2 linked regions of the Macaca mulatta genome follow. The protein of the gene in region 1 purifies or fractionates together with the protein of each later gene. This does not show direct contact. Links are inferred from orthologs where the notes say so. Each region holds a gene or a part of one and is shown on either strand. Other genes may lie near its edges.

Evidence for each region. Proteins that work in one complex are often made in the same cells at the same time.
Region 2: the proteins of GOLGA7 (region 1) and ZDHHC5 purify together in Homo sapiens (co-immunoprecipitation; 3 studies listed by BioGRID and IntAct, with this or other methods). This does not show direct contact. The link is inferred for Macaca mulatta from reciprocal best matches to the Homo sapiens genes GOLGA7 and ZDHHC5.

What each region holds. Positions count from the first base shown.
Region 1 is NC_133413.1:43,565,312-43,575,965, reverse strand, and holds part of GOLGA7 (golgin subfamily A member 7), read right to left. Parts: intron 5,251-10,654; coding exon 5,098-5,250; intron 1-5,097. UniProt on the Homo sapiens protein: May be involved in protein transport from Golgi to cell surface. The ZDHHC9-GOLGA7 complex is a palmitoyltransferase specific for HRAS and NRAS.
Region 2 is NC_133419.1:15,691,931-15,701,690, forward strand, and holds the end of ZDHHC5 (palmitoyltransferase ZDHHC5), read right to left. Parts: intron 7,784-9,760; coding exon 7,660-7,783; intron 6,956-7,659; coding exon 6,843-6,955; intron 5,297-6,842; coding exon 4,437-5,296; intron 3,673-4,436; coding exon 3,507-3,672; 3' UTR 3,174-3,506; downstream 1-3,173. UniProt on the Homo sapiens protein: Palmitoyltransferase that catalyzes the addition of palmitate onto various protein substrates such as CTNND2, CD36, GSDMD, NLRP3, NOD1, NOD2, STAT3 and S1PR1 thus plays a role in various biological processes including cell adhesion, inflammation, fatty acid uptake, bacterial sensing or cardiac functions.

The DNA of each region.
Region 1 (10,654 bases):
CCCTGAGGATATTCAACTGGAGAAAGCCTTCCAGCCCTTCAAGAAAAATAGCCTGATTGAGGCTAAGTAACACCACATCTTACTGTTTTCAGAACATATCCAAGTTCTCTCCTGTGTTCCTTCTAGACATTCTGCACATGGGCAGAAGGGATGTTTTCTAGTTCATGAACAAGGCAGAGAGATACTGAGAGGAGAACGTTCCACGAGCCCATTTGTTCCCTAATTATCATGGGTAGCAACAATAGAGAAGTAACACTGAAGTCTTTATCTTCATTTTAAATCAATAAATAGCACATTATAGGGAAAAATGCATGATTGTTCTAGTGAGTTTTAAAAGGCCTATTTACAATTTCAAAACATTTAACACACATGACAAAGTATAAGCACTGTTATATTTGGCTTACTGTTTGTAGACTAGGAATTTCGGTGTTTAAAACAATAGAGACTAAATGACTCAACCCCGTCCTTTCGTAAGTAGAAAATAATAGCACAAAAATTCCTGAGAGACAAACTGGGAAAGGGAGAGGGCAACTGTGCTTACATTTTAATCATTTTATCAAAACACAAATACACACTTCTATTAAAAGTATAGGTATATCATATCTTAACTATGATCATTCCAGTTATTAATTTTGCACAATCTAGTTATCCGTGTTCACTTTCTACAAAATATCACCTATTTTTAAAATGTGGCCATGCCTTAAATTTGGTTTCTGGATTGATTTTACTTGGTCTTTACTTGCTTTATAACATTTGCTTTATAAAAAGAAAAGGGCCTTGCTTAGACCTATAAAATAGGACCTTACACAATGTCTACAAATCCAAGCTAAAACACATATTGGGATCAACCAATTTCCATTGAATTTCTGGTATCAAGGACCATCTTCCAAGATTTCATAATTGGAAGGATTTTAATTGAGAGCTAAGTATTTTCAGCACCCAAATAAACTAGCAGCTGACTAAAAGATCACTTATACTTGAAAATAAAAAATCATATGTGAGTTCACAAATATCTGATTAAAACTTACATAGGTAACTTCATTAAAATCTATCTTGGCTGGCCACAATGGCTCATGCCTGTAGCCCTCGCACTTTGGGAGGACGAGATGGGAGGATCACTTGAGGCCAGGAGTGCAAAACCAGCCTAGCCAACATAGTGAGACCCCATCTCTAGTTTTTTTTTTTTTTTTAAAAAAGTAATAAAGGCTGGGTGCTGGGTGCAGTGGCTCACGCCTGCAATCTTAGAACTTTGGGGGGCCAACGCAGGTGGATTACTTGAGGCCAGGAGTTCGAGACCAGCCTGGTCAACGTGGTGAAACTTCATCTCTACTGGCACAAGAATCACTTGAACCCAGGAGGTGGAGGAGTGGGATCACACCACTGCATTCCAGCCCGGGCGACAGAGTGAGACTCTGTCTCAATAATAAAAAAAAAAGAAAAAAAGAAAAAAAATCGACCTCAAGAAAACACTGTTTATTAAGCACTAACCACATGTGAAGAAAATTATGAATTCTAATATCCATATTACAGTTGAGAGAATTCAGAGAGATTAATTTGTCCAAGATCTCATAATTCGTATAAACTGACTAGCACCCAATTACCAATTTCTTTTTACAAATGACATCAGTACTTCTATTTCAGCAAATATACTTTGACAAATACAATTAAAATTTTATCAACAAATGTAATGACAACTCAAGCCTTTTAATATTTCACTAAGCATGAATAAAATACTCAAGAGATGTGCTTCTACCTTAAATTAGCAATATTATGGACTTCTGTAAATAGCCATTCTGGATGATAAAGTTTCTACCCATATGAATTCAGCTTTACCCAACCCTCCTACATTCATGCCGACTATCAACATATCCCTTGGAGCTGGTCACCTCTTTGCACCTCCCCTGCTCCCTTCCTAGTCCAGGCTATCTCACTCTTGCCTGGACTTCTGTGGAACTTCCTCACTTGTTTCCCTACTTCTATTCTTATGCCTTTTTTCCACAAAGCAAAGAGATCTCTTTAAAATGAAAATCTTGCTGGGCACAGCAGCTCATCCCTTTAATCCCAATACTCTGAGAGGCTGAGGTGGGAGGATCGCTTGAGCCCAGGAGTTCGAGACCAGTGTGGACAACACAGTGAGACCCTGTTTCTATTACAAAAATAAATAAAATGAAAATCTGATCACATCACTCTCTTAATACTTTGAGTAGCTTCCCACTTGCACTAAAAATAAAATCTATACTTCGTTCCATGAACTAGGCACTCCAAGCTACAGCTCCTGCTTACCTCTCCAAATCCACCTCCCATCATTCTCTGCCCCTCCTCTCCTGTGCATCACCTTCTCTCAGTTCTCAGGGTCCATCAAGCTCTCTGGGCCTTTGTGTATGTTCATCTTTCTGCCTTAATGCCCCAGGCTTTTCATCCTTCATGCAACAGCTTAAATGTCACCACCTCAGAGGCCTCTTTTGACCATACACCCTGGATTAGGTCCTGCCTATTATTTTCTACCACAGGCCAGTTTGTTTCCTTTAAGGCACTTATCATAATGTGTAATTTTGTTGTCTTTGTTCCCTTGTTATTATCAGCTGTCACCACTTAATTATGAACTCCACAAGGTCAGCAACCATGTTTGTCCTGTTCGGTTATGTGCCAGCACTTTGCTTAGCACATAGTAGGCTTTCCAATAGTTACTGAGCAAACAAATCCCCTGAGCCTTCACTCACTGAAAGTATTAGAGAGGAGATACACTGAAACAGACTGAAAGCTGACACTGAGCCTTGATAATTTCTGATTTTGAAAGTTAAACAGGAATGAAAGCTTCTCTCTGTGGTATTGATATGGAAGGGAAGAGCATGGTCCCTTCAAAAGGACACAGAAGCAGGCAGGTAGGGAAGTGCTGGGTGGAGAAGGGCGTGGTCCCTGGCTAGCACTCCACCTCCAGGCCTGTGCCCAGTAGGTGAAGACAGGCATTTTTGTTTTCCTGCCCAAAAGCTGCAAGTCCACCCTGGCCTGCCACGCCCCCATCCTGTGCCTATAAAAGCCCTGAGACCCTAGTAGGCAGGCAAACAGGCGGCTGGATGTCGAGAGGTGAACATTAGTGGAGGAACACACAGGTGGCTGGATGTCGAGAGGAACACACTGGCGTAGGAGCACACTGGCACACCGGTAGGCCATCAATTGGCAGAATCATGCAGAGTTTGGCCAGGATGGTTGGAGAAGAGTTCGGTCGTTGAGCAGCCTGACTCCAGGGGAAAACCATCTCCCTTCTGGCTCCCCCATTTGCTGAGAGCTACTTCCACTCAACAAAACCTTGCACTCATTCTCCAAGCCCACATGTGATCCGACTCTTCTGGTACACCAAGGCAAGAACTCTGGGATACAGAAAGCCCTCTGGCCTTGCGATAAGGCAGGGGTCTAACTGAGTTAACACAAGCCGCCTATGGACAGCTAAACTAAAAGAGCACCCTGTAACATATGCTCACTGGGGCTTCAGGAGCTGTAAAATATTCACCCCTAGACACTGCCGTGGGGTTGGAGCCCCACAGCCTGCCCATCTGTATGCACCCCTAGAGGTTTGAGCAGCAGGGTACTGAAGAAGCAAGTCACACCCCATCGCACACCCTGCGAGGGGGACAAGAGAACTTTTCCTGTTTCAACATGGGGAAGGATATAAATAACTATACTTAAATAGACCTGTTTATATGAGATGGAATTATAGTAACAGGATGGTAATGAAGAATACAACAGCATTTTCAGCCAACAGCTCCAAAAACTTTAGCTGCAACTATATGCACTCTCCACTACATGGAGTGTAAGACATTTCTATCAGATGGGGTATGATATATTCTTATAGCATTTCGTTTTCTGAGCACTGTCAGAATTTAGTGATATACCAGGGCTACCGTGATTAATTTACAGTCATTTATTTAACATATATTCAATGAGTGCCTGATATACCCAAGGCATGGTGTCAGGCATAAAGAGGGATACAAAATGGTTAAGGCATTGTCCTCAAGAAAAATACATACTTGAAAGGCAAATAAGACAAGAACATAAACTGCTACATTCCAAAGAAGAGTGAGGCAAGTGCCATAAAACAGATACAAATAAAATGTAGGGACACAAGAGAAGAGAAAGAATTCTGACTAAAATAGAGAAAAAGTTAGATGAAAGTGACACCCAAGGGACTGGTGGGATTTGAACCTGGGAAGATAGCATTCCAGGTGGAGAACCACAGTGGGTATGTTTGCTGACCAGTGAGGGATGGAGTTTGGCTGAGGGAGAAAGTGAAGGAAGGAATGGGAGGCAGCGCTGGAAAGGTAAGCTGCGGTCAGCTTGAGCAGGGCCTTGAACTTTACTCAGTGGTAAAACATGGGAAGCCAGGGAAGGTCTCTGACTTGGCAGAAGCAGTAAGGGAAGTAAATCTGTGTTTTATAAAAACAGCAGCAGATAATTTAGAAAAGCAAAAGGAGGGAAGAAATGAGACAAGTCACACTATTTCAATAGTCTAGGAGAGACAGAATAAGGGCATAACCTAGGATAGAGGCAGAGGAAATCACAAAAAGTGAATGACTGTGAAAATGAAAGATATTTCAGTCTTTGAAAACAGATTAATTTTTCCCTCTTCTTCATCCCTCATGCCCAAAGATGGTATTGAAAAGACAGGGGTGCTACTGACAAAATGGGGAGGTGGGAGGTTTGACTTCTGGTCATCTTAAGTTGGGAAATAAGCAATTCAGGAGCTAGCAGCCAACTGGGAAGAGAAGGTAAGAACTCAGGTGGGAGAAGAGAGTGACATTTAGGGAAATAAAGTAAAAACATTCCCAGAAAGCTGAGTAGGAAGAGAACATAAAGATTTTCTACATTCTTCTTAAGTGTAGGCCAGTCTGAACATTGACACGTCAACTGCAAGTGGACATACCAACTGTAACCTGTTTTGAAAGACTCAGGACTATGTGCCTCTGTACATCGGAACACAATTTGAATGATAAATGCCCCTAAATATTTTATGGCAACTATCACCGTGTAAGCATTCATGTGTAATAAGCTTGCCTTCTTCATGATTTTAAGAGATTTTTGTGAAAACAAAAGTAGCGTTACCTTCTCATAATGAGTTTCCATGCATAGGAAGATGGTATATGCTGTTAAACAAGCCAAACAACCTTCGAGATATGATTGGCCGCCAAGCTTCTCTGCTTCTGCATAAAGGTTATTTAGAGTTCGAACTGTTTCTTCAAACTGCTGCCTATCAATCTGTAGAGAAGAAAAGAATTTAAAAATAAGTTTTGGAAAAAAAAAATCAACTTACTAATGCATGCTATCAATAATGTATCTTGTTTTGTCACCATTCTTAGCCACTAGTTGACAATTTTTTTGGTGATTAAATCTGGGCCTAAGTTACCAAAACTGCTTAGTTTGTCTAATTTTATCCCTCTATAAATACTGGATAGCTTCAAGGCTCAATAAGGTACTTCTTTATTCTTTCTACTAAATTTCAAGTAACTCTAGACTTTGTTCCTCTTTCCATTCATTTAGATTCACAAATATTTACTGAGCACCTACTATCAGATACTATGAAAAACCTCAAGATACAGCACTGTCTCAATCCTCAAGAGTTTCATTATGCAAGCAGAGCAGGTATGTAAACATAAAAATGCAAAAAGCTGGCCGGGCGCGGTGGCTCACACCTGTAATCCCAGCACCTTGGGAGGCCGAGGCATGCAGATCACGAGGTCAGGAGATCGAGACCATCCTGGCTAACATGGTGAAACCCTGTCTCTACTAAAAATACAAAAAAAATTAGTCGGCCATGGTGGCGGGTGCCTGTAGTCCCAGCTACTGGGGAGGCTGAGGCAGGAGAATGGCATGAACCTGGGAGGCGGAGCTTGCAGTGAGCTGAGATCGCGCCACTGCACTCCAGCCTGGGCGACAGAGCGGGACTCCGTCTCAAAGAAAAAAAAAATGCAGTAAGCTGACAGGGTACTATCATATAGGCAAATATAAAGTCTAGTGGGGCACAAAAGCAAGGAGATATTCCCTTTATCTGGGAAGGGCAGGTAATCTTAAATTGAGTAAGTAAACACTGGAATTTACTAGGCAAGAAAAAAGTGACATTTTAGCAGAAGGATCAAAAGGCGTAGGTTCTATATTCTGTTTACTCAGTCTATCTCTTTTGAAGCAATTCTCTTGTTACTAAATAAGGTAAAATTTGTTAAGGTAAAATCTCAAGCTAATACACAATTTTTCACATCAAGTCATTCATTCTTATTACCTCTCTCTATTTGGTGACACCATTATCTTAAATTTACACTAATACTACTACAGGTTGAGCATCCGTGATTTAAATTCTGAAGTCAGAAAGGCTCCAAAATCTGAAACTTTTGAGCACTGGCATGACACCACAAGTGGAAAATTCCACACCTGACCTCATGTGAGGGGTCACAGTCAAAATGCAGGTGCACAACACATAGTTTATTCAGTGTCCCCAAGGGAAAAAGACCCTTCCAGCCCCCGTCAGCTGCCATGTACCTTTTCCATGCACAGCCAGATTCTCCCATGCAAGCACGCTCACAAAAGGTGGTAAGATGGTTCAGTGTACACACACTTTGTCTCATAAAGTCATTTAAAATATTGTATAAAATTACCTTCAGGTTATACGTATAATAAGGTAGATATAAAACATAATGAATTTCATGTTCACACTTGGATCCCAACCCCAAGATATCTCATTAGTATAAACAAATATTTCAAAATCTAAAAAAACCCCCAAATCTGAAATACTTCTGGTTCTACATATTTCACATAAGAAAGAACCTGTACTGTCATCCATCGTTTCACTCCATCATCTGCTTTTACTTTATTCTCCCAATATTACTTTACTGTCTTCTAATAGTACTTTGTATAACAGATTTCAAATTTTGCTACTTCATCCTAGGATTTTCAAGGCCCATTAGGAGAGCATTCATCCAATACTGCCATTATCTGTCTGTACTCTAGGCCTTCTCTCGCATAAGGATTCCCTTATTTCTAAAATTAGTAAATACTTACATATGAATTCTCTCTTTTATGAAGTCTTTATTTAAAGACTTTTTTTGTTTGGCTTTTTTTTTTTTTTTCCTTTCCTGGTCTCTGCGAACCTATTAAGTCTTGCTTTATAATAGAAATAGACTCAGAAAAAAAAAAATTAGGCTAGAGATGAAACCTCATCTCTACTAAAACTACAAAAATTAGTAGGGAATGGTGGTGCACGCCTGTAATCCCAGCTACTCGGGAGGCTGAGGCACAAGAATCACTTGATCCTGGCACCAGAGGTTACAGTAAGCCAAGACTGCGCCACTGTACTCCAGCCTGCGTGACAGAGTGAAACTGTCTCAACAAAAAAAAAAAAAAAAAAAAAAAAAAAAAGATTGGCTAGGGTACACAATCTAGTACCCTAGACTGAGCTAGTGGCATGATGGCTCATGCCTATAATCCCAGCATTTGGGAGGCTGAGGTGGGTGGATCACTTGAGCTCAGGAGTTTGAGACCAGCATGGGCAACATGGTGAAACTCTGTCTCTACTAAAAATGCAAAAATTAGCCAGGCGTGGTGGCGCATGCCCATAGTCCCAGCTACTCAGGAGGCTGAGGTGGGAGGATTGCTGGAGCCTGGGAAGTGGAGGTTGCAGTGAACCGAGATCTCACCACGGCACTCCAGTCTGGGTGACAGAGTGAGACTCTGTCTCAAAAAAAGAAAAAAAAAAAATCCTCAACATACAGTATGAGCCCTACTATTCCCAAGAACATAATCTTTTTTTTTTTTTTTGAGACAGAGTCTCACTGTGTCACCCAGGCTGGAGTACAGTGGCACAATTTTGGCTCACTGTAACCTCTGGTGCCAGGATCAAGTGATTCTCGTGCCTCAGCCTCCCGAGTAGCTGGGATTACAGGCGTGCACCACCATTCCCTACTAATTTTTATATTTTTAGTAGAGACGAGGTTTCACCATGTTGGCCAGGCTGGTCTCAGACTCCTGGCCTCATGTGATCCACCCCCCTGTCCTCCCAAAGTGCTGGGATTACAGGCATGGGCCACCTGCACCTGGCCCCAAGAACATCATCTTTCAAAGTGTAAAAAATTCATGACCATCCTTAAGCTATGACAATTCTTTAAGTTAGAAGCAGTTGTTGTCATTGTTTTGTCCACTGTGTGGAAAATGTGAGGAGTCAATGAGCCAGTGGCATGCATGAATTTAATGTAACCTTTAAAGTGGTGTTGGCTCGACCCATTTTTCAAAAGGAGTTAAATTTCCAGGAATATTAGAGATTTGGACAAAGGCTAGGTGGGTCAAGACGGCCTTTAAGCGCAGGGGCAGTGTTTCTTCACTGAGCTACCCCTTGAAGATGTGGTGTCAAGGCTGGTCATCTGGGAAACTGTCAGAGTTCTCATTCACGAAAACAGACTGAGAAGAGCTCAGCAAACAAAAATGGTAAGCTGTTATGTTCACCTAATTATGCCTTCAGTTTGTCTACCGATAAGTCCACAAAAGTCTAAATAATTCCAATCACATTTGATGTGCTTATAAGTCATTGAATTACTTATGTTTCTTTACAATACAATTCAAAACCATGGGATTCAACCCAGAAACATCTTATTTCTTTCATATTAGAATTACTATTTATCCAGGAAACCCTAATTATTATTATTTTTTAAGTTTAGAGACAGAGTATCGCTATCTTGCCCAGACTGGTCTTGAACTCCTGGCCCCAAGTGATGCTCCTACCTCAACCTCCAGAGCAACTGGGATTACTTGGGTGCAAACCATCATGCCCAGCCAGAAACACTAATTCTTATGCGTTATTCTGAGACTACAATGCCTTATAGGATAGAGGTAAATCATATGTCAGTTAAACAAACAAATAAAAAAAAAAAAAGGTTAATAAAAAAATTTAAAAAAAGGATAAACGGTTAAAGTAAATGCCAACACATTTTTCAAAGGTTATTTTAAAAAAGGGAAATAAAGGGTAAAAATCACAGAAGGCATCAGTAAAGGCAAACAACAAACTTCACAAGAAAGGGCTCAAGAGAACAAATGTTGGCATTTGTATCTCACTACCTTTAGGTTATGAAAAACAGTGGCCAGTGTTCTCCCTTAGGTTCCTGGACACTGATACAGGAGCTCTATCAAAATTTAGATATATGAGAAGTCAGAGCCAAATAAAATTTGGACCCACAAACATCAAAAGTCAGAATGGAAAGAGAAATCAGGCTCATTTTCTCAGAATTTTTGTTTCGTGCTGAACTACATAGTAGAAAGCATGGTGAAGCCTGCAGTGATCACGTATCAAGGGTGGCAGGTCAATGGTAATTACTAACCAGAAGGGGAGACATATTTTTAAAGGGAAATAAGGGAACAAATGCCTCAATTACAGTTCACTCATTCTTCTACCCAGACCAAGGGTAACTAAGGTATCTGTATTTTGGCTAATGAGAATAAAGCTTCCTTTAAGGAACTGTTCTGGCAACAAATCGCTTAAGCATCAAAGTAGTACATTCTAAAAGCCAGCAGAGAAAATGAACTTGTTAACAGACAGAACCTATCCTACTCCCAAATTAAAGGGCACAAATGTGTATGTATTTTTTAAAAAATGCTTTAAAATAACACAGAACACTTGCATATTAGTCTCTTTCTCTATTACGTTGCCAAGTGTGATGTTCTCACAAAAAGAAAATCAGCTCCAACAGCAGAGCAATCAGTAAAATTTCTAGGGTAAGTAGTAGAGAAACAGAAACCTTTCAATTTTTCATCAAAGCAAGGAAAGTTTAAACCTGTAATTTAAATTTAATATCAACACACACACACACACACACAGACCCATACACACACAATCAAAGCTTTTCTAGTGGTTTAAAGCATAAGCTAGTGTTTTAACCCAAACATTTAAAAAGAAAAAAGAAATTCACAGGCACAATTGAATAGTGCCATGTAACATTCCATATAGTACTCAGTACCACAGGCAGTTCTGGGCTACACAGAGTCAAAGAGGTAAAAGGACTCCAGAATTTAGAAACATCAATTTCCTGAGAAGAATCAGTGGAGCACTGTAACTACATTGTGCTTTTGTACTTAGGTTACAAAATAAAGGCTCTGCCACACACAGAGTGGAAGGCTAATGTCTGATTCTGCGTACACACATTTGCTCAAATATGAGGTGTAAGTGTTGCTTTAAAACCTTAAAGCAAAGGAATCTTTAATGTCCAAATAATGGCGGTAAAAAAAGAATACTTTATATTCTGATTTTGAAGTACATAAAATTGTATGTCATAATCTCCATGAGAGGCTTAAAAATAAAACATTTGATTGATTCCATGTAAATCTTTTTATTTTATTTATTTTTTGAGACAGAGTCTTGCTCTGTCGCCCAGGCTGGAGTACAATGGCATGATCTCGGCTCACTACAACCTCCGCCTCCCAGGTTCCAGAAATTCTTCGACTTCAGCCTCCTGAGTAGCTGGGATTACAGGTGCCCGCCACCACACCTGACTAATTTTTGTATTTTTAGTAGAGATTGGGTTTCACCATGTTGGCCAAGCTGGTCTTGAATTCCCCACCTCAAGTGATGCACCCGCCACGGCCTCCCAGAGTGCTGGGATTACAGGCGTGAGCCACCGCGCCCAGC
Region 2 (9,760 bases), on another chromosome or scaffold:
ATGACCCAAGCTTACTAATACTCCACAGCAGACACAGAACACTCTGCCCGTTATGTTAAGAACCAGGCGCCTGGGTGATCTCAGGCTCCATCTGAAGAGCTGATCCAGGTAGGGCTCAACAGTGTATTCTAGGTCAATTTTGTGTTGAAACAGAATAGCCAACTGAAAACACATGGACAGTCACCCATGTATTTCAACAAGATTGGTTTCTTAGGTCAGAAGCCTGTGATCTTTTGAAATGAACTTCTGGCAAGCAAAGGTAAATGCTTCTCTTCTCTTTACAATAACTTTTGACCTGCTTCACTCCTTAGTTAAGACAATAAAGTTAGTTAGCTGATGTGAAAACATTTCTAAAACAGCAACAAAATGTAACCTAACCTATCAAAATGTTTAAAAAAAAAAAACCTTTAGTTTTTCCAGCTGGTTAGGTAACTGAAAACATCCATGAGAAAACCTGAATTAATGTAACCTGACTTTAAATTTAACACACAGTTAAAATCTGTTGCTGTGAAAGCCAAGTTTGTTCCTCAATCAGTGGGTGGAAAACCACTCATTCAACTGGTTTAAATCCAGATTTCAGAATAAGAGTTTGCTGGGGTGTTTTTTTTTTTTGGACAGAGTCTCACTCTGTTACACAGGAATGCAGTGGCGTGATCTCGGCTCACTGCAACCTCTACCTTCTGGGTTCAAGTGATTCTTGTACCTCAGCCTCCCAAGTGGCTGGGACTACAAGTGCGTGCCACCAGGCCTGGCTAATTTTTGTTTATATATATATATATATATATATATATATATATATTTTTTTTTTTTTTTTTTTTAATTAATTTTGGAGACAGAGTCTTGCTCTGTTGCCCACGCTAGGGTGCAGTAGTGCAATCTCAGCTCACTGCAACCTGTGCCTCCTGGGTTCAAGTGATTCTCCCACCTCAGCCTCCCAAATAGCCAGGATTATAGGTACCCATGACCAATGCCCAGCTCATTTTTGCATTTTTAGTACAGATGGGGTTTCACCATGTTGTCCAGGCTGGTCTTGAACTCCTGACCTCAAGTGATCTACCCACCTCAGCCTCCCAAAGTGCTGGGATTACAGGCGTGAGCCACCGCACCGAAGAGTTTATATTCTTACATTTTGAGTAATTAAAGGGTTCTGGCCAACTGCTGGAGATTTAGCATCTAAGGATACCTACTGAAAATTAAGAGCACAGCTTTTGTCCAATAGAAGACAGTCTATCTAATTGAACTGACACCAGTATCTAGTTAACCTGCTTTCAACAGGCTTTCGTATCTATCTCACCTTTGGCTGTTTCCAAAATTAGCTTTACTTTCCAGAGACTAAATCCTGTATTAAAAAAACAACTGTAGGCCGGGCACGGTGCAGTGGTTCACGCCTGTAATCCCAGCACTTTGGGAGGCGGAGGCGGGTGGATCACGAGATCAGGAGAGTGAGACCATCCTGGCTAACACAGTGAAACCCCGTCTCTACCAAAAATGCAAAAAATTAGACAGGCTTGGCGGCGGGCGCCTGTAGTCCCAGCTGCTTGGGAGGCTGAGGCAGGAGAATGGTGTGAACCTGGGAGGCGGAGCTTGCAGTGAGCCGAGATCACGCCACTGTACTCCAGCCTGGGCAACTGAGCAAGACTCCCAAAAAAAAAAAAAACAGCTGTAGCTGGGCATGGTGGCTCATGCCTGTAATCCCAGCGCTTTGGGAGGCCAAGGCAGGACTGCTCAAGGCCAGAAGTTCGAGACCAGCCTGGGCAAAATTGGTCGAGAGCCTATTTCTACTGAAAAAAAAAAAAATAAGCATGGTGGCATGCCGCTGTAAGTCCTAGCTTCTCAGAAGGTTGAGGTGGGAAGACCCTTGAGGCCAGGAGTTTGAGGGTATAGTGATCTGATTGTGCCACTGCCCTCCAGCCTAAGCAACCAGAATGAGGCCCTGTCTCTTAAAAGAAGAAAGAAACAATTTTTAAGAGTTCTCTAAGCTTTCAAATAACAGCTTTGGTGGTTTCAAGAGACTTTTTTTCCAGGTATTTTTAAATTAAATTACCCAAATAAAAACAGGACCTGTTGTTTTTAGAAATTGAGTCTCTATGTTGCCAAGGTTGGCCTGGAACTCCTGGGTTCATGTGATCCTCCTGCCTCAGCCTCCCTCAGTGCTGGGATTACAGGCATGAGCCACCACACTCGGTCTCTATTTTTTTAGTAGTAGTTGTTTTAAGTGGCTAATTTCATTATAGTCTTGCCTAAAGAAGGGCTGGGACCAGAGAAGCTTATGAGTTTGTCACTGTGGTAACTTCCCACCAGAAATCGTTCACCTTGTCTCAACCAGACAAAATAACACAAGTCAGGGGGCGCTGGTTAGATCAGGATTTCTTTTTATTCCTCGTTGGTTTAAAATGGCTAATCAGAATAAAAAATAAAAGGGCCTCTTTGTGGAGGCTGGGATCTCCCCTATTTAGAGGTTAGAACCCAGGTATCCCCTCTACCCAGCACCATAGTGAGGTGGGCTGAGGGGTAACCCCCAAGGGACAATTGGAGGGGCCTAGGCCTGCCACTCCTTCTCTCTATCCCCCGTTTTTGGCATGTGATGAAAAATATTGCTTTTTGGATTCTTCTCTCCTGGCCTTGGATTTTAAAATCAAGTTAACCGTGTAAGCTAGGGGAGGCTCCAAGGGGCTAGTAGAAGGAGCCCACTCTAATCCCTCTCCCCCAAGGAGGGGATTATCCAGTATTGTTTGAGCTAGGCCAAGTTATTTTCCTGATCTCCCCCCACCACCAGTGTCTTGAAGTTTTGACCCCTTTCCTAGGGAAACTAAATGCCAATGAGCCTAGAAAACTAATTCTCCTCTCCAAGTCCCTCCCTCTTGTGACCAAAATCCCAGACTCGCCTCTCCCCAGGCTTCTTCCTAATCACACTTAGCACCAACAGAGGATGCTATTTCCTTAGTAACTGGAACAAATGAGAGGGAACCACAGGGAAAAGACTGACGTCTCCCCTCTTTTCCTGCTGGTCTGAGGAATGGGAAGAGTAAGATCCCCCTCCATATATGTATCCCTCCCTCATTTTCCCATCCCAGGATAGATATATAATTTCTTTGATATTTATAATATATATATATATATATTATATGTACACACACACCTGGTAACGCAGAAGAGGAAAAAAATAGAATCCGTAACAATAATAAAAAAAATTATTTCTGGTTTAAAAATGATCTGGTTCCCTCCAGGGCGAGCAATTGCACAAATGTCCACTGAGTCTGGTCCAGGGATCAAGGAAGGGAAGGTCTTAAAAGATAAGAGGAGGGGGTTGCTACCCCAGTCTCAGGGCCCCAACTCTCCGACTCCCCAAGCCCACTGCATTTTAGAAAACGCTCCTCATCCTCTTGGAATTGGTGGTTTAAAAAATGTCCATGCAGGGGAGGGGAGCCCCTTGAGGGAAGGAAGGTGGCCACCTGGGGCCCTTTGGTGTAGGCGCAGAGGCGTTGGGGAGGGGAGGCGCCGAAGGCTCACACCGAAATCTCATAGGTGGTACCACCAACCCCTGACACCTTCTTGACTCCTCCCCTCGTGGGGCTACTGAGAGATGGCTGGCCTGGGCCAGGGGAGGCTGAGCCTAAACTCTTGGGCTGCCCATTGGATTTGCTGTAGGCGGTCTTCAGCTGTACTTCATCTCTGGAAAGAAGAGACGAGACAGGTGTCAGGAAATGGTACACAAAACATTGGAAAGGGAGACAGTTTCAAAGGTTCAAAGAAAAAATTGGTGTTCTTTTCTATATCCATACTTTCTTACCCAAACGTCCCCCTTTATTGCCCTGCTTAAAATAAGCCTGATTCCCAATCTCTCCTATTTACTGCTACTCTCTTTTTTTTTTTTTTTTTTTGAGACGGAGTCTCGCTGTGTCACCCAGGGTGGAGTGCGGTGGCCGGATCTCAGCTCACTGCAAGCTCCGCCTCCCGGGTTTTTTTTACGCCATTCTCCTGCCTCAGCCTCCCGAGTAGCCGGGACTACAGGCGCCTGCCACCTCGCCCGGCTAGTTTTTTGTATTTTTTAGTAGAGACGGGGTTTCACCGTGTTAGCCAGGATGATCTCGATCTCCTGACCTCGTGATCCGCCCATCTCGGCCTCCCAAAGTGCTGGGATTACAGGCTTGAGCCACCGCGCCCGGCCCTACTGCTACTCTCTAGTAACAGCTATAACATGTACTTACTCCCAGGCAAATACTTTTAGGAAGATAGGATTATGGAAAAAGTATTAATCTTCAGTCTCTTAACAGGAATTGCCCATGAAGGCAGGTGGAGTCAAAGTGAAAATAAAGAGCTACCAGGATACCCCTGGGTCCACCTACATTAGGATGTACAACAGAAGCCCTGATGGCTTTTGCAGAGCAGTATGCCAATTTGAAATGGCTAAGGGTCAGGATAGTACTAATACTTACTTGGGTGTCAGTAATGGCTGCAAGGCCACTTCTTCTGTCTCAGAGACACCAGGTTGGGCTTTCTGGCTGCTGTAAGACATCGATCGGCCCAGGTATGAGGCCGTTGGGCCTGGTTCAGGGGACCCTACTCCCCGGCCCCTTAGCCCATCTGGCTTGCCAAAACGGGGGGCAGCTGGGCGTCCCAGTGGAGTCTTGCCCAAAGGTGATCTCTTTGAATCATCTGAGGAGGAACTAGTACGAGGGGCATGGCCTGAGCCTGGTGTTGACTGAATGCCTGAGTCCCCCAAGCCTGGTTCCTCCTCACGGCCTGGGAGTGGGGGTGACTGGCGCAGCAACTTCTCTCGTTCCTGGAGGGAGGCCACAATGTGGCGCGACAGATTGTCGTAACGGACTGGTGAGGGCTCTCGGTGTGTTGGGCCAGTTGGCACCAAACGTGGGTGTCTCTCAGCTTCCCGTTGCTGGGCCAGCCTGGCTGACAGGAAGGGAGAGGTATAGCCTAAAGGTGGGTCTGGCTCAGGCCCTGCCTGCACTGACTCAAAATCAGGGCTGTCTGAAGGTGTGAGCAAGCTGTCATAAGATAGGCTTCCATTGCGTGTCTGGTTGGCCAGGCTCTTATAGGAGGTGGAGGTGGTGCCCTCTGAACGAATGGATTGCAACTGGCCCAGCTCAAAGCCTGTGCCCTGGGCTGACTTGAGGCTGGAGGAGCGTGAGCCACTGGATAGTGGATCGAAGTGAAAACTTTTGCCAAAGGTAGGAGAACGGAAGCTCTCTGGTTCCAAGCTGGGCTCTGAGCGGTAGCTGGGATGACGGCTGCTCTCTGCAATTGAGGTTGGCTCCTTCAAGCTGTCCCCACGACTCAACTAAGGAAGAAAGTAAAGCAGGCTCTTAGTGCTCCTCTTGTGACAAGCTAGACCCCGGAGCCCAAGGAGTTGGTCAAAAAGAGTATTATGTGCCAATAATATGCTTAGAACTCTTACATGCATTATGTGGGTTAATCCCTCAAGAAAAACTGAATTCAAACAAATATCTCATTTTCAGATACAGAAAGCAAGGCATACAAAGGTTAAGTATCTCGCCCATGGGCAGAACTGGGTTATAAACTCAGATCAAGCACTAATCTATTATGCTATATTGCCCAGTCTGATGAAGGACACAGTATCAAGGAGATTCAGTTCCACGAATGCCAACAATTAGTGAAATGTACTTTGTTTTCTTCTCTTCCCTTCCCCTAATCTTTTTTTCCCAGAACAGCTGGCATGTGTTTTGTGTGTATGTGTGTGTGTATTTGAGGCAGAGTCTCACCCTGTCGCCCAGTCTGGAGTGTGATAGCACAATCTTGGCTCACTTCAACCTCAGCCTCCCAGGTTCAAACGATTCTCCTGCCTCAGCTGGGATTACAGGCGCCCGCCACCACGCCCAGCTGATTTTTGTATTTTTAGTAGAGATAGGTGTTTTTAGTAGAGATAGGGTTTCACCATGTTGGCCAGGCTGGTCTTTTGCTCCTGACCTCAGGTGGTCTGCCCACCTCGGCCTCCCAAGGTGCTGGGATTACAGGCTTGAGCCACCATGCTTGACCTTCTTTTTTTAATTTTTTTTTTTTGAGGTGGAGTCTCACTCTGTCACCAGACTGGAATCCAACAGTGGGATCTCCGGCTCACTGCAGCCTCCTGAGTAGCTGGGACTACAGGTGCATACCACCACATCCAGCTAATTTTTTTTGTTTGTTTGAGACGGAGTCTCACTCTGTCGCCCAGACTGGAGTGCAGTGGCGCAATCTCGGCTGACTGCAACCTCTACCTCCCAGATTCAAGCGATTCTCCTGCCTCAGCCTCCTGAGTAGCTGGGATTACAGGTGCCCCACCACTACCACGCCCAGCTAATTTTTGTATTTATTCATTTTTTTTGAGACGAGGTCTCAGGCTGGAGTGCAGTGGCGCAATCTCAGCTAACTGCAAGCTCCGCCTCCCGGGTTCACGCCATTCTCCTGGCTCAGCCTCCACGCCTGACTAATTTTTTTGTATTTTTAGTAGAGACAGCGTTTCACTGTGTTAGCCAGGATCATCTTGATCTCCTGACCTCGTGATTCGCCTGCCTTGGCCTCCCAAAGTGCTGGGATTACAGGCGTGAGCCACTGCATCCCGCAATTTTTGTATTTTTAGTAGAGATGGGGTTTCACCATATTGGCCAGGCTGGTCTCGAACTCCTGACCTTGTGATCCACCACGCCTGGCCTAATTTTTGTATTTTCAGTAGAGAAGAAGTTTCACCACGTTGGCCAGGACGGTCTCAATCTCTTGACCTTGTGATCCGCCCACCTTGGCCTCCCAAAGTGCTGGGATTATAGGAATGGGCCACCATGTCCTGTCAGTTGGCATGTTATTACCCCACCTCTTAGAGTACTCAGTACCTTGGCGCTGGAGGAATGCGGCATGGCAGCTGATGTACTGCTGCTACTGTAACCCGGCCGATACTTGTACATGGTAGGTGTCGGAGGGCTGTCCTTGCCCAGTAAGCTGCTATCTGCAAGAAAAAAGGCCAAGGGGGCACTACTTTACAAGCGGTGTTTTGGTTTAAGAGACAGGGTCTCATTCTGCTGTCCACGCTGGAGTGCAAGTGGCACAATTATAGCTCACTGGAGCCTTGAACTCCTGGGCTCCCACCTCAGCCTCCTGAGTAGCTGGACTGCAGGCATATGCCACCATGCCCAGCTAATTTTTTTTTATTTTTTGTAGAGACAGCCTTGCTATGTTGTCCAGGGTGGTCTTAAACTCCTGGGCTCAAGCAATCCTCCTGCATTGGCCTCCCAAAGTGCTGGGATCACAGGTGTGAGCCACTGTGTCTAGCCTATGAGTGGTTCACTTTATCTGCCTAGGGTTCCTTAAGTACAGGTAGAGGACAAGGTAGGGATATACCCTTCGCTGAAATCAAGACTAAAGACTCAAACCAGCTCAGAACTCAGGGTGGATAAATGCACCAAAAAGGTCCTATGATGTTCTCTGGTCTGCCTAGAGGCTGACCATTTTCCCGGCAAAAGTCCCATTCACTGCCAATAGCTAAATGGCATCTCTTCTCTTCCAGTTGCAAAGTGGCACAAGTACCAACTGTTGGGTATTTAAAGTCACAACACAAGTAATATCTCCCAGCCCTCGCATGTCCTCTAAAGCTCATAACCTTCTCAATCCTGCCCCTAGTTCTAGTATCTTACAAATCAAGGCAGCCCTTACCCTCATTAGTAGCCAGGCCGAGGTGTGTTCGCAGCCCCGTGTAACGGCTCAGGTCTGGCTTAGGAGGAGGTGGAGGTTCAGCATCTGCAGACTGGCTCTCTGTTATCTCCAGGCTTCCCTTAGACTGGATTGATGAGGGGAGCGAAAAGTCAGATTTGGAAATTGAGCATTACGGCAACTCACAGTATTAAATTGGTATAAAAGAGAGGTATTTGGGAGTCAATTCTCATGTATTTCCTTTTTTTATTTTCTTTTGAGACAAGGTCTCACTCTTGCCCAGGCTGGAGTACAGTGGCACACGCATGATCATGGCTCACTGCAGCCTGCAACTCTTAGGCTCAAGTGCTCCCTTGAGCCTTGAGCCTTCAACCTCAGCCTCCCAAGTAGCTGGGATTACAGGTACATGCCACCACACCCAGTTAATTTATTTTACTTTATTTTGTAGAGACGGGGGTCTCGCCATGTTGTCCAAGCTGGTCTTGAACCCCTAACCTCAAGCAATACCACCCCACTTTGGCCACCCAAAGTGCTGGGATTATAGACATGAGCCACTGCCTATCATATATTTCTAAACCAGACTGGAAGACAAGGCACAAGAATCAGTTTGGGTATAGTATTAGATGAAGAAAAGGTTTTTTTTGTTTTTTTTTAAATGGAGTCTTGCTCATTCACCCAGGCTGGAGTGCAGTGGTGTGATCTTGGCTCATTGCAACCTCTGGCTTGCAGGTTCAAGCAGTTCTCATGCCTCAGCCTCCCACGCAGCTAGGATTACAGGCATGTGCCACCACACCTGGCTAATTTGTGTTTTTTTTTTTTTTTGAGATGGAGTTTCGCTCTTGTTGCCCATGCTGGAGTGCAACGGGCATGATCTCGGCTCACTGCAACCTCCACCTCCTGGCTTCAAGCAATTCTCCTGCCTCAGCCTCCCAAGTATCTGGGATTACAGGCAAGGGCCACCACGCCCAACTAATTTTATATTTTTAATAGAGATGGGGTTTCTCCATGTTGGTCAGGCTGGTCTTGAGCTCCTGACCTCAGGTGATCTACCCACCTCAGCCTCCCAAAGTGCTGGGATTACAGGCGTGAGCCACTGCGCTCAGCCAGAAAAGTTTTCTATTTTTTATTTTACTCTGTTTTAGAGATGGAGTCTCGCTATGTTGTCCAGGCTGAGCTCCTGAATTCAAGCAATCTTCCCACCTCAGCCTCGCAAAGTGCTGGGATTATAGGCATGAGTTACTGTACCTGGCAGAAGAAAGGTTTACAAAAGGTTTTAATTCTGTCACTTATTTGCCCATGTAAACCAACAACTACTTGTTTAGCTCCTACCATCTAGCTGTAAGCTGCTAAGTCCTATGAAGACATGGAAATTAATGAATTCATTTTTTACTGTTAATGAACTTAAAGTCTAATGTAGGGCCGGGTGCAGTGGCTCACGCCTGTAATTCCAGCACTTTGGGAGGCTGAGGGAGGTGGATCACTTCAGGTCAGGAGTTCGAGACCAGCCTGGCCAACATAGGAAAATCCTGCCTCTACCAAAAATACAAAAATTAGCAGGGCATGGTGGCATGTGCCTGTAGTCCCAGCTACTTGGGTGGCTGAGGTATGAGAATCGCTTGAACCTGGGAGGCAGAGGTTGCAGTGAGCTGAGATCATACCACAGGAGTCCAGCCTGGGTAAGAGACCAAGACTTCCTCTCAAAAAAAGAAAAAATCCAATGTAGAAAACAAGAGTTGTACTGAAGTAATTTTAACACAGATCAGTAAGTGATAAACACTGTAAGAAATATAGGCCAGGCGCGGTGGCTCATGACTGTAATCCCAGTACTTTGGGAGGCCAAGGTGGGCGGATCACCTGAGGTCAGGGGCTCGAGACCAGCCTGGCCAACATGGCAAAACCCCATCTCTACTAAAAATACAAAAATTAGCCAGGCAAGGTGGCAGGCACCTGTAATCCCAGCTACTCTGGAGGCTGAGGCAGGAGAATTGCTTGAACACGGGAGGCAGAGTTTGCAGTGAGCCGAGATCGCACCACTGTACTCCAGCCTGGGCAACAGAGCAAGACTCTGTCTCAAAAGAAAAAAAAGAAAAAAAGAAAACTAAAG